3 linked regions of the Drosophila melanogaster genome follow. The protein of the gene in region 2 interacts with the protein of the main gene of each other region in a pairwise test. Each region holds a gene or a part of one and is shown on either strand. Other genes may lie near its edges. The genes, in order: CG11980, Nplp2 and gom.

What was found.
Region 1: the proteins of Nplp2 (region 2) and CG11980 interact in a two-hybrid assay, tested with the Drosophila melanogaster proteins (one large-scale study listed by BioGRID).
Region 3: the proteins of Nplp2 (region 2) and gom interact in a two-hybrid assay, tested with the Drosophila melanogaster proteins (one large-scale study listed by BioGRID).

What each region holds. Positions count from the first base shown.
Region 1 is NT_033777.3:9,002,401-9,005,971, reverse strand, and holds CG11980 (uncharacterized protein), read right to left. Parts: upstream 1,956-3,571; 5' UTR 1,922-1,955; coding exon 1,897-1,921; intron 1,877-1,896; exon of another isoform or gene 1,834-1,876; coding exon 1,521-1,833; intron 1,464-1,520; coding exon 722-1,463; 3' UTR 641-721; downstream 1-640. Other genes in the region: Prosbeta3 (proteasome beta3 subunit), read left to right, coding at 1-518; CG31100 (uncharacterized protein), read left to right, coding at 2,382-2,431.
Region 2 is NT_037436.4:13,354,500-13,357,880, reverse strand, and holds Nplp2 (Neuropeptide-like precursor 2), read right to left. Parts: upstream 1,506-3,381; 5' UTR 1,283-1,505; coding exon 1,238-1,282; intron 1,155-1,237; coding exon 1,029-1,154; intron 874-1,028; coding exon 784-873; coding exon of another isoform or gene 685-783; 3' UTR 658-684; downstream 1-657. Other genes in the region: CG17687 (uncharacterized protein), read right to left, coding at 3,032-3,212.
Region 3 is NT_033778.4:22,138,308-22,141,996, reverse strand, and holds gom (gomdanji), read right to left. Parts: upstream 2,063-3,689; 5' UTR 1,850-2,062; coding exon 1,804-1,849; intron 1,736-1,803; coding exon 1,406-1,735; intron 1,357-1,405; coding exon 815-1,356; 3' UTR 633-814; downstream 1-632. Other genes in the region: CG11269 (uncharacterized protein), read right to left, coding at 2,732-3,055.

The sequences.
Region 1 (3,571 bases), on a different chromosome or scaffold from region 2:
CGATCTCCACGGACTTCAAGAAGGTGTTCCACATCGGCCCACGGATGTTCCTCGGGCTCACAGGCCTGCAGACGGACATCCTTACTGTTCGCGATCGCCTGATGTTCCGCAAGAATCTGTACGAGACACGCGAAAACCGTGAAATGTGTCCCAAGCCCTTCTCGGCCATGATGTCCAGCTTTCTGTACGAGCACCGCTTTGGCCCGTACTTCATTGAGCCGGTCGTTGCTGGCCTGGATCCCAAGACCATGGAGCCTTTTATCTGCAACATGGACCTGATCGGCTGCCCCAACGCACCCGATGACTTCGTTGTGGCCGGCACCTGTGCGGAGCAATTGTATGGCATGTGCGAAACCCTGTGGAAACCCGATCTCGAGCCGGACCAGCTGTTTGAGGTCATCGCCCAGTCCATTGTGAACGCATTCGATCGCGACGCCATGAGCGGTTGGGGTGCCACCGTCTACATTATCGAGAAGGACAAGATCACGGAGCGCACACTGAAGACCCGCATGGACTAGATGATGTTAGAGGTTCCCTTGGTGATTTTGTATACATTAACCGAAATACACATACAAATAAAATTTGTTTAGGTACAACATGTGCGTATTTCTTTTCCGTATAACGTAATAACACCAGAATTAAATGCGTAATAACACCAGAATTAAATGCGATCTAATTATTGTTTTTCAATTTCAAAAGCATAACTTTAAGTCGTATTATATTATTGCTCTTCTGTCCACTCGGTGGATTTCTTGGCCAACAACATGGCAGCCTCCTCGGTTTTTGCCCCGCCAATAAATCCTGTGTGATGGATGAATTCGAGATCTTTGATGCTCGCCTTATCGCATAGTTCATCGTCCATCAGTCCGCGCCAAGGAGTGGGCAGAAATTTGCGGCCCAGATAGCTGCCAGGCGTCACTGGAACTCCGGCCACTCGCCAACTATTGCCGCTGTTGAAGACGACCAGCTTGGGCACACCCTCCACCTTGTACTCCTTTTCAAGATCGAACAGATGAGACTTCCAGGGGCAGAAATTCTTCAACACAAGAATCTCGCCGGTGGGATGGACGTTCTTGGCATTTTTAAGAGCCTCTCGTACGTGATCCCGGGCTGGAATCCAGGAACATGATACCTCCACAACGTTGTCCACAAACTCACGACCTGCAGTATCCATCGCCTGTCTGAATCGGTCTTCGATGTCTACGCCAGTTTCCTGCCAGGACGGATTCAGTTTGGCAATGCGGGCAGATAGATGAGTGGAGATTTTGTATATAGGCTCAACGCCCTCGAACATGGGCACTCCATTATCAATTGCGTCCAGTTCGTTGATAAAATTCCTATAGATCTGAATAAAGGCCGTTTGCAGGTTTTCCGGTGAGAGTTTAATTCCCTTTTCGCGCTGCAGGATGCTCTGTATAACACGCTCGCCATAGTGACAGTAGACCAGTCCAGCACTGCTTAGCCTGGAGGGGATTACATTGGATTATACGGGTTCATTTACGCTAACACCACGAATTCACCTGACAACGTTGTAGTCCTCGCTTACATCTGGGCGAACGGAACTAAAAGTCTCCTTGAAGGTTATTTGGTGGTGATCGTACAATTTCTTGGCATGATCATAAACGCCGCCCACGTCGACAATTATATCGCACTTCTCCTTCAAAGCCTTGTTGTCCCGACTGCGGAAAATCTCTGCGTTTTTGTACTCATCCAATTGCTTGAGCATAAAACATGCGACCAACTCGTCGCAGTGAAAAGTGCCGCTGTGTGTGCCGATCCAAAGGGGAGAGCGTTTTGGTGGGGTAACTCCAGTCATTATAGATAGTTTTCCTGCTTCAAAACATTCAGTTAAGCCCAGATATTTCAATTAATTTCGGATTGTAACCAAAAACTTACGAAAACGAGGTAACAATCGGAACATTAGCGACGGTCTTTTCCTCCATTTAATATCGATATCACAAGTTTTTATAACTTGATATGGCAACACGCGTTCAGCTTAAATATATAAAAACTGCAGCGTGGCAGCACTGGTAACGGTTTTTTAAGCCGCAAACAATTAACAACATTTTAATTAAATACGTTTTATAGGCAAGTTGGATTTTAATATAATAATATATGAAAATTCAGTGAAATCTGTACCAAGCACTGCCAGCTTATCAAAGAACTTCGCCCCACACCAATCGATTGCATGGGCGTTTGTGCTTATCCAATAAATTAGCATTCGCTTGCTAATTTGTAAAACAACAACTCATAGGGACCACATCAATTTTTTGGCTGCTTAGTAGAGAATTATTGGCTGAAAATTTTAGTAAGCCTTTGGAACTCAAGACCCACGAATGGATACATTGGATAAAATTGACTAACCACAAGGATTTACCAAAATGGCAGAAGCCCGTTTGCGCCGAAATATAAGTCGGCAAGTACCCGCAATGTAAGAGTGATTAGTTTAAAAGATCATTAAAAACGCGCGGGAATCGGAAAGCTTAAAAATACATTACTGACCCACTGCGTGGCATTGCTTATATAATCGTTATAAGTTATTTAAATTTTACATTTCCGTTAATTGTGCGCTGAAACTGACGAACAATAATTAAAACCGAAATAGTAGGCAAACGGTCTATGTATGCGTTTAAAACATAAATCACCGCCGACAACAATGATCACGTGTATGAGCGCGAACAAAACGTTAAATTCAAATTGTTACACAGGCATTTTTCCCGTTGTCAGCATCCCATGACCTTCGAAAAGATGCTAAGCTCGGAAATTGAGTGGAAAAGGAAGTGCCTGTGTAAACGAAACTCGTTTGGAAAACACACTTCACTATCTCCAATTGGAATGCGAAATTCAGCTCGAATTAAAGTTCAATTTGCCCCGACGTCTACGTCACGCGGCCAAATCAAAAATTTCACAGGGCTTATTGTGGTACTAATCGATGCAGACACGCTTATCAAAATCTGGACTCGTTTCGACCTCAGCTTCTTGCAATTAAGCTTATCATACAGATTACGTTAGAAGTTCATTGCCACTGAGCGAAAAATGCGCTTGTTTTTACAACTACCCAAGTAATTATATTTTCACGCCCGTGAGCAAATAAGCAAATTCCACAGGTAAATACCAAACTGAAACTGAAAGGTATATTGTACCACATGTCGTTCTTAAATGAATGAAAGTGAATAGTAAGTTGAATATACAAATATTTAAATCATTTTTGGCTTATATAGCACTTACAGGGTATCATTGGATCGGTGAACTGGCACCCTCGTTACGTATATGCCCATTTAACTTATATTAGCACCGTCTTTTTTCAAATAAATCGCTTAATACAACAAATATGTGAGTACGCGTCAAAAAAACTTTAAGGGCAATTAACTGGAGCACTTAAAATAGAGATTACTAAATCGGGAGGTGATGATTTTGTATTTAAAATTAAAAATTCGACACTATCATTAAATTGCATTACTATCGTTGTAGTGTTCTCTGGTGTGCAACATCACAATTGTAGATTTATTTACTCGAGCCTAAGTGAACTTAAGTAGCCTTACTGTATTTATAGAGGCGAGATCAAAGCCGC
Region 2 (3,381 bases):
CCCACATTTTTGGCCCAAAGCTCGATACGAAATCCCTTGGAAGAAGCAAAAATCCACTTTGGTATTATGCAATCGTGCGCGGCGATGAAGTTAGATTGGGCGATCGGAGGGGATTCCCCGAGATGCGATGCCGTACAAATGCCAATACATTATTCATGGTTTCGAAAGCCCTCACATTTCGTCCTCCATTCCCCGAGTTGGCTGCGCCAAACAGGTGTGCAAAATAGCTGACAAATATTTCACGCGTGCTACCGTTTCAAAGCCAGTTGTTCTTACGAAACTCAAATCATGGCAATAATTTTTGATTTTCTGCAATTTTCTTCGAAGAAGAGCGAGATCAGCACTCTTCAGCATCTAAAATCTTTAATAACACAGTGAAAACGGTATAGAAAAGTTCCATAACTTAGCTTGTAGGAAGTGCAATTAACCATTTTCGGTGGCCGTACTAATAAAAATTGGCATAATTATAATAATTTTATCCTAACCAAGTCAAATTCATGCGTGGAAGCATATTTTCTCAGAATAAAAGAAATATAAATAAAAAAATCATCTTTCAATCTAAACATCTCAATTTTACCAATTTTAAGGTAATAAAATAGCTATTCTAGAAAGTGGAATGGAAAAATTTTTTAAAGTAATAGGCAAATATATGTTTTTGTGCTAAAAACAATTAACGTTTTAATTTCATTTTTTAGTTTTCATGTATGTAACAACTAAAGTTAAAGTTAAAACATTTATTGGAGTCGTTTTCAATGTAATGATATATGGCCATCCAACAACGTCTTAGGTGGATGCGGCTGGTGCCTGAAGAAATGTTTCGTTAAGTTTTTGCAGACCCTCCTGCACGGTATTTAATCCATCCTTGAAGAGACCCTACACAGAGAGAAAAGTTGTTAGTTAGAAATTCGTAAATACTTTATGGAAAATACGTATGTAGTGGATAGAATGAGTTTTAAGCGTCTCCACGAAAAATGACTATTAATTACTTAGAACTCGCTTTATTTTTGATATGATTGCTTTATAATTACCTCAACCTTCTTCGCGTCCAACGCCTTCAACTTTTCAATGAATTCGTTGAAATCACCCTGGGCCTTGGTAAGAAATTCTTGGGCAGGATTGGATTCCTCACGGGGGACGCGGGCGGACAGAGCCAACTGAAATCAAAGTGCCACATTGTAGTTTATCTCTGAAAATAGGTCCTGCATCTGTGTGCCAGGACTTTGAGCATTTTACTTACGGCGAACAGGGCGAACACGAGGATGCAAATTGCGAGCTTGGCCATTTTTGTGTTGGTTTTTTGTAACTGCTGCGGAACTCTGAACTAGAGAACGATGACTTGAGTACTGATTGAACCTCTGCCAAACTACTCATAACGACACCTCGTTTTGCGCCGCAGCCGGCCGAATTTGAGACCGGCTTATCGGCACTAGGAAGGCCGAGCGTTTAGAGCTACGGAGCTGACCCGTGATAAGCGTACTTTTTTCCGTAGCATGCTGGAATAGATTGCTTCGCATAACAGCTGAGCGTTTGCTTGGCTCAAGAATGTCTACATTTGTTTAGTCACAGAAGATAACCGCTTTATGCAACCGCCAAATAGTTAATCTCTGTAGGACTTAATGGTATTGCCCTATCCTCGAATCCAGTATTCTAGCACTTGGCCCGTAACAAAGATTTAAATATATAATTTAAGAATATTTTTAATTTGAATTTCAACAAGAAATAATTATGGAATTACCACTGTATAAATTTGGAATATACATATCCTACAATGTGTGCTTATCATTTCAATGGCTCGCATAGCTAAGCTGTTCTGAAGGCCTTTCGATCCAGCAATCGGAATTGTTTATCTACTTTTATTTGTTTTTTTCATTAAAGACCAAATATTTTAATATTTCTGTAAGCATTTTTTTTAGTTAAATATATATTTATATATAGTTAAAGTGAAGAGATAACGCTATAGTCGACTTTCTGTACGAGTAACAGGTATATAGTCAATTTTATTTTATACTATAATTTCCATTTTACCGGCTATCAATGCAAAGCACGTGGCACGTGATAAGGTTTTTTTTAAATGCTTTTGATAAGGCGCCCTACATTCGAAATTATGTAATTGCGCAAAATAAATATTTATAATACCGAGTATTAGAAAATTTGACGAAGCAACCCGGAAATTTCCAACGCGAAGCTAAGTTGGAGAAATGCAAATGCGATTGGACTTGGGCAAACCAAACAACGCTTTCAGAATATTTAGACAGAGCTACTCTTGTAGACTTTGGATATCAAAAACGTAAATTTAGCATGGTGAACTCATCTTAAAAGGCGAATAGAAATAACGAAACACTATTATCAACATAGATGCTGCGGTAAAAAAACTGAACTAACAAAAATAGTGTATTCTGTAGCTCACCTCCAGGGGTTAAAGTAATTTAAATGATGAATTCGCATATTTAGTAAAGAAATTACAGTTCTCTGGTTTTGAAAGCTGAATAGATAAGGGCTTACTGCTCGGAGTAAATCCGAAGATTACGTAATGGTTAAAAGAGGTAATAATAATTAGAATAATAGTCGTGTATTGCCGTATTTTTAGCGTAATCACGATATGATAGCCATATAAAGTGACAATCGGGGTTTTTTATTTGTATTATATTGCAACAGTTTGATCTCTCGGATCAACTCTCGTGTCTTCAAGGGCAATTCATTAAAACAATAAATGTGAAGTGCGATGCTGAAGGGTTTCCCCCAACTTAAGCCCCAAAAGTAGTTAGTCAAGAGTAGAGTTTGTTTCGGGAGCAACGAACTAAACAGCAAACAGAGCTCAAAGTGCACGACTTTATGCCTCGTTTTCGTAATTTTCCCCAGACACAAACAAACCCAATTAAGTGGCAGCACGAGTCAGAAGACCCAGACCAGATACCCAGAACCACTAATAAATTTTCATTTGGCGGAATGAAAATATTTAATTGCAATTTCGCCAAGTGGCTAAAACTTAGCCCCACGGTCTGGTCTGTTGGTTGGTCGGGTTGAAGTTCTCCTAGGGCACCGAACTGAGGATATGCTCCGGCACTGGCGGATGACATTGGGGCAGGGGTGGACCCAACGTGGGGTAGGTTCGCAGACGGAGCAGCTCCAGAATCGTCTGCAGTTCCAGCACATGGGCGTAGTTGCGGCGGACATTCTCCATGAGCTGCCGATGGGTCTTAATCTGCGACATTCTGCGGTGGAAAGAGAACATATGTTTTAAATATAAAACTGTTTGATTTTTGCATGAAATTCGGTAATTAGCCCGAAATATGAGCAGTGGTAAAAATACTTTTTACTGTAGCCAACAGATAGATAAGTTTCTTCTTATTTTCTGATAAGTATGACAGCAACTTTTAAATG
Region 3 (3,689 bases), on a different chromosome or scaffold from region 2:
ATACATCGCTGGGGAAACGCTTTATATCTATCTATCTATCGGTAGCGAATTTTCATTAAATAGATTAGGGGGCTGCCAAACCAAGCCGACGCGAATCGGAGAAAGAACCTTACTTTATTGCGACGAACAACAAGTGGTCGTTGTTATGCGAACATTGGAACGCTCTTTGACGCGTAATGGAAGCCACAATTGAATTCACTCTATGTGTATGCTATCTACGAGATACAATTTTGCTGCTTTTGATTACATGCAATGAGCCATTTCCTCTACAGCCAACAGAGTGCCCGACTGACTCTAAATGCATACAACATACGTATGTATGTATGTACATGGACGGTCTTCGGGCCATCCAGCATTTTGTTATTGCACCTCATTTTGGCTGAAACAGAACGCTGGCTTAATTGCACTAGAAATGCCAGCATGTGGCAAGTTAAGTAGTCTATAAAGTGGCAGAATCCAAATATGTAATTAGATTCTGCCAGGGATCTGGGCTGGGCATGATTAAAACTTGAGTGCCTCAAGTCTAGTTTAGTTAAGAAAACTATAGCGTCTATGGGGTAAACAGTAGAATAGATTAAAAAATCTCCAAAGATTCCTACCTATATATGGCATCAATAAAAAAAATGCGAATTATCTAATGCAGATCTCAGGCCAACAGCAACGAATTTTGATTTTTTATTGAACAGTATATCCAGTGTTTTTGGGGGCTTTATTCGCAGGGTGTTGATGTTTGTATTTGCCCGATCAATGAATTTTCCAAGCTTTTGTGTTGTTACTGCTGGCAAAGTAAATTAAAGTGCAGTATAAGTGCATACTAGCCGGCCTTTCTGGCCTCCTTGTCGGCCTTCTCCTTTTCCTTTTGCTTCTCCTTCTCAGCCTTTTCACGTTCCTTGCGCGCCTTTTCGCGGGCTTTCTCGCGCTCCGCCTCCTCCTTCTCGAGCTGCGCCTCCTTCTCCTTTCGCTTCTTTTCGCGCTCCTTGTCCCTTTCGGCCTTGACCTTGGCCTTCTCCTTCCGAATCTTCTCGCGCTCCTTCTCCTGCTCCTCGAGCCGCTTCAGTTCGTCCTTCTCCCACAGCTCGAAGGCCTCGCGCTCGGCGGCCAGGCGCTGTAGTTCATCCAACTCGGCGTCTGTGATGCCGCCATCCATGTCGCGTTGCATCAAATCCACCTCCCTCTCCATGGCCTCTTTGGCACGGCGTCGACGTATGCCCAGCTCCCTGGCCTCCACTGCGTCCTGATGGCGCTCCTCACGCGCTTCCTTCTCCTCCCGTCGGCGCTCCTCTTCGATCTCAAATTCCTCCATCTCATCCTCGTTGTAGGGATACTCGGGAATGGTCCAATTTAGACAGAGGACACCTGAGATTAAATGGTGCAATTGCTATACGATATAAGTGGCTAATCCTACCTGACGACAAGGCAAAGCCCAATGTTCCCCCTGCTGCCAGGATACCGGAGACAAGGATAAGGTTATAGCGGCTGTTCTTGGCTGACCAGGCTTTCATAAAGTCGCCTTCCGGCTTTGGGCAATCACTGAGCACCGCGTGCTGACCACCGCTGGCAAAGTAGCCCGGCTTCCGCTTCATATTCTTGTCGCCTCCAGGACATTTGGGTGGCGGCTTGGTGGACGGGGGTGGCGGTGGAGTGGCCTTGACCGCCTTAGCTGACCCAGGAGGCGTGGCCTTAGCGGCCATTCGCTGAGAAACCGTATTATGAATCAACATCTGGCCAAAGCGCACTGGGGATTCAGGAAGGTTTTATTCTACTTTGAAGCGAAAAACTTCTGGACATAATTCTTTCACTCACATCCCCTCTGGAGACGCTCTTTGGTAGCTATCAAAAATCGGGACATGGTACTTGCTCTTCACTTCCCTTCTCTGTGGGAAGAGACCTTTGATTTTCTTAGCCAAGTGTTTGCCTAGCAAAATATAAAATTTTTTTCGCGTCACAAACTTAAAAATCTCAATTTGATGTCAATATCAAATGTTTCTGAATTGAACCACTTTTCTACGAGTGTGTTTCATAGATTCGTAAAAAATACGATTCTACATCTGCATAAGAAATTGTACGGTCTCTCGGGTGGCACAATTATATAGAAGACCATCCATGGAGGAAATTTAGAATATTTCCCAGGTATTGCCAGATCTCCAAATCAGTTAACCCGAGTTCCCGAAAAAATGAGTAAATGCAGTGAACCAGTTTTCAGCAGACTGCACTTGGTTGGTGGTGATAACAAGCCAGATACACAAGCGTACAACTAGAAAATCGTGTACGATAATTTACACAACGGTTTTCGTGTAAGACACAAAAGCTCGGTCGATAAGAACAAGATACATAACCCCGGTGTAGACTAGACTACGGTATAGAGGTGAAAGGGGGGGGAATAGCCAGAACTGGGAACCCACACCCCATTCCCATTAGCATGTTTCGGAAAGAGAATTTCACGGAAATTTATGATGCCCAAAAGAGAACACACCTCGGTGAAGGTGTCACGTGCGCTGTCAAAAATCGGTTGGTCCGAGACGAATGCATAATGCGGAGTGGACAACAGTCAGCCAGACTTGAAATCGAAAAGTGGCTTGGCGATAAAGAAGTTAAGGCTAATCGCAGAATGCGGTCAACAAACTGGTTCTTTCGATCTTTCGAACCAACAAGTGGGTGGACGTCGCTGAGTGGGTGAAATGCAATTGGAACCATGAAAATAAATTGTTTATTCAATAACCAATCATACAAATCAACGACGGAATCGCAAGTGACCGGGACCCCGCTTGTAGAGTCGCTTCCTTCTCTTGTTATCCCGACGAATGGCCACTATCGCAATGAAGACGAATCCCAGATAGAAAACGGCGGCTACAAAGCACCGTGTGGACACGTCCTGGTAGGCCTCGTCCGCCTGCTCCTTGAAGGCCTCCTGACTGGGGAAGTGGTGGGGCAAGGGCAGGGACTCCAGGAGCATCAGTGACTGGACGTAGAAGAAGATACCCAGCAGATTCAGCATCAAGAAGCCCCAGGCGCTCATGAACAGGCAGAACAGACAGCACTTGCGACCACAAAACATTTTCAAGCTCGATTCAATTCTATGCGAACTTTGTGCGACAGTGTAGTCGAGTGTTGCTCTGACCGCAACAGGTGCCAAGTTTAAGCCGACTTCGAAAGCGAAACCGAATCCGAAATCGAAATCGGAATGTATTGGACCACATACTATTCATCCATCTATCTACATACGCTCGTACACAAGTACAACCTTGTGCGATTTCAGCGGCATTAGATCAGAGTGGTCGGAATATGGAGTTCACGTACCCGTGCCTCTCGCTTTCGGCGGCGTTGCGATTGGGTTTGTTCAACTCGAAATGGCTTAGATTCGGATTTGATCTTAGCCAATGATGGACAACTGACAGATATATCATTTGCACACATACATATGAGTATGATATAGAAGCAGCTCAACTTATTAACACTTGAAAAGCACGTCAAAAAAACGATGTATACAATATACTTCAGAACATCAAGCTTATGCAGAACGAAGACCTGCAATATATTTGATATTTCAAATCAGTGGCTGCATTTAGTTCTGCGTATTTATATATCAGAAGTGATTTTTAGAGAACTGAATGTAGGCCATGCCAACCAAGTAGCTGATTCATTAAAGGGCAGCCTCTGATTTGAATTCCCCTTGTGAATCATGCTCAAGA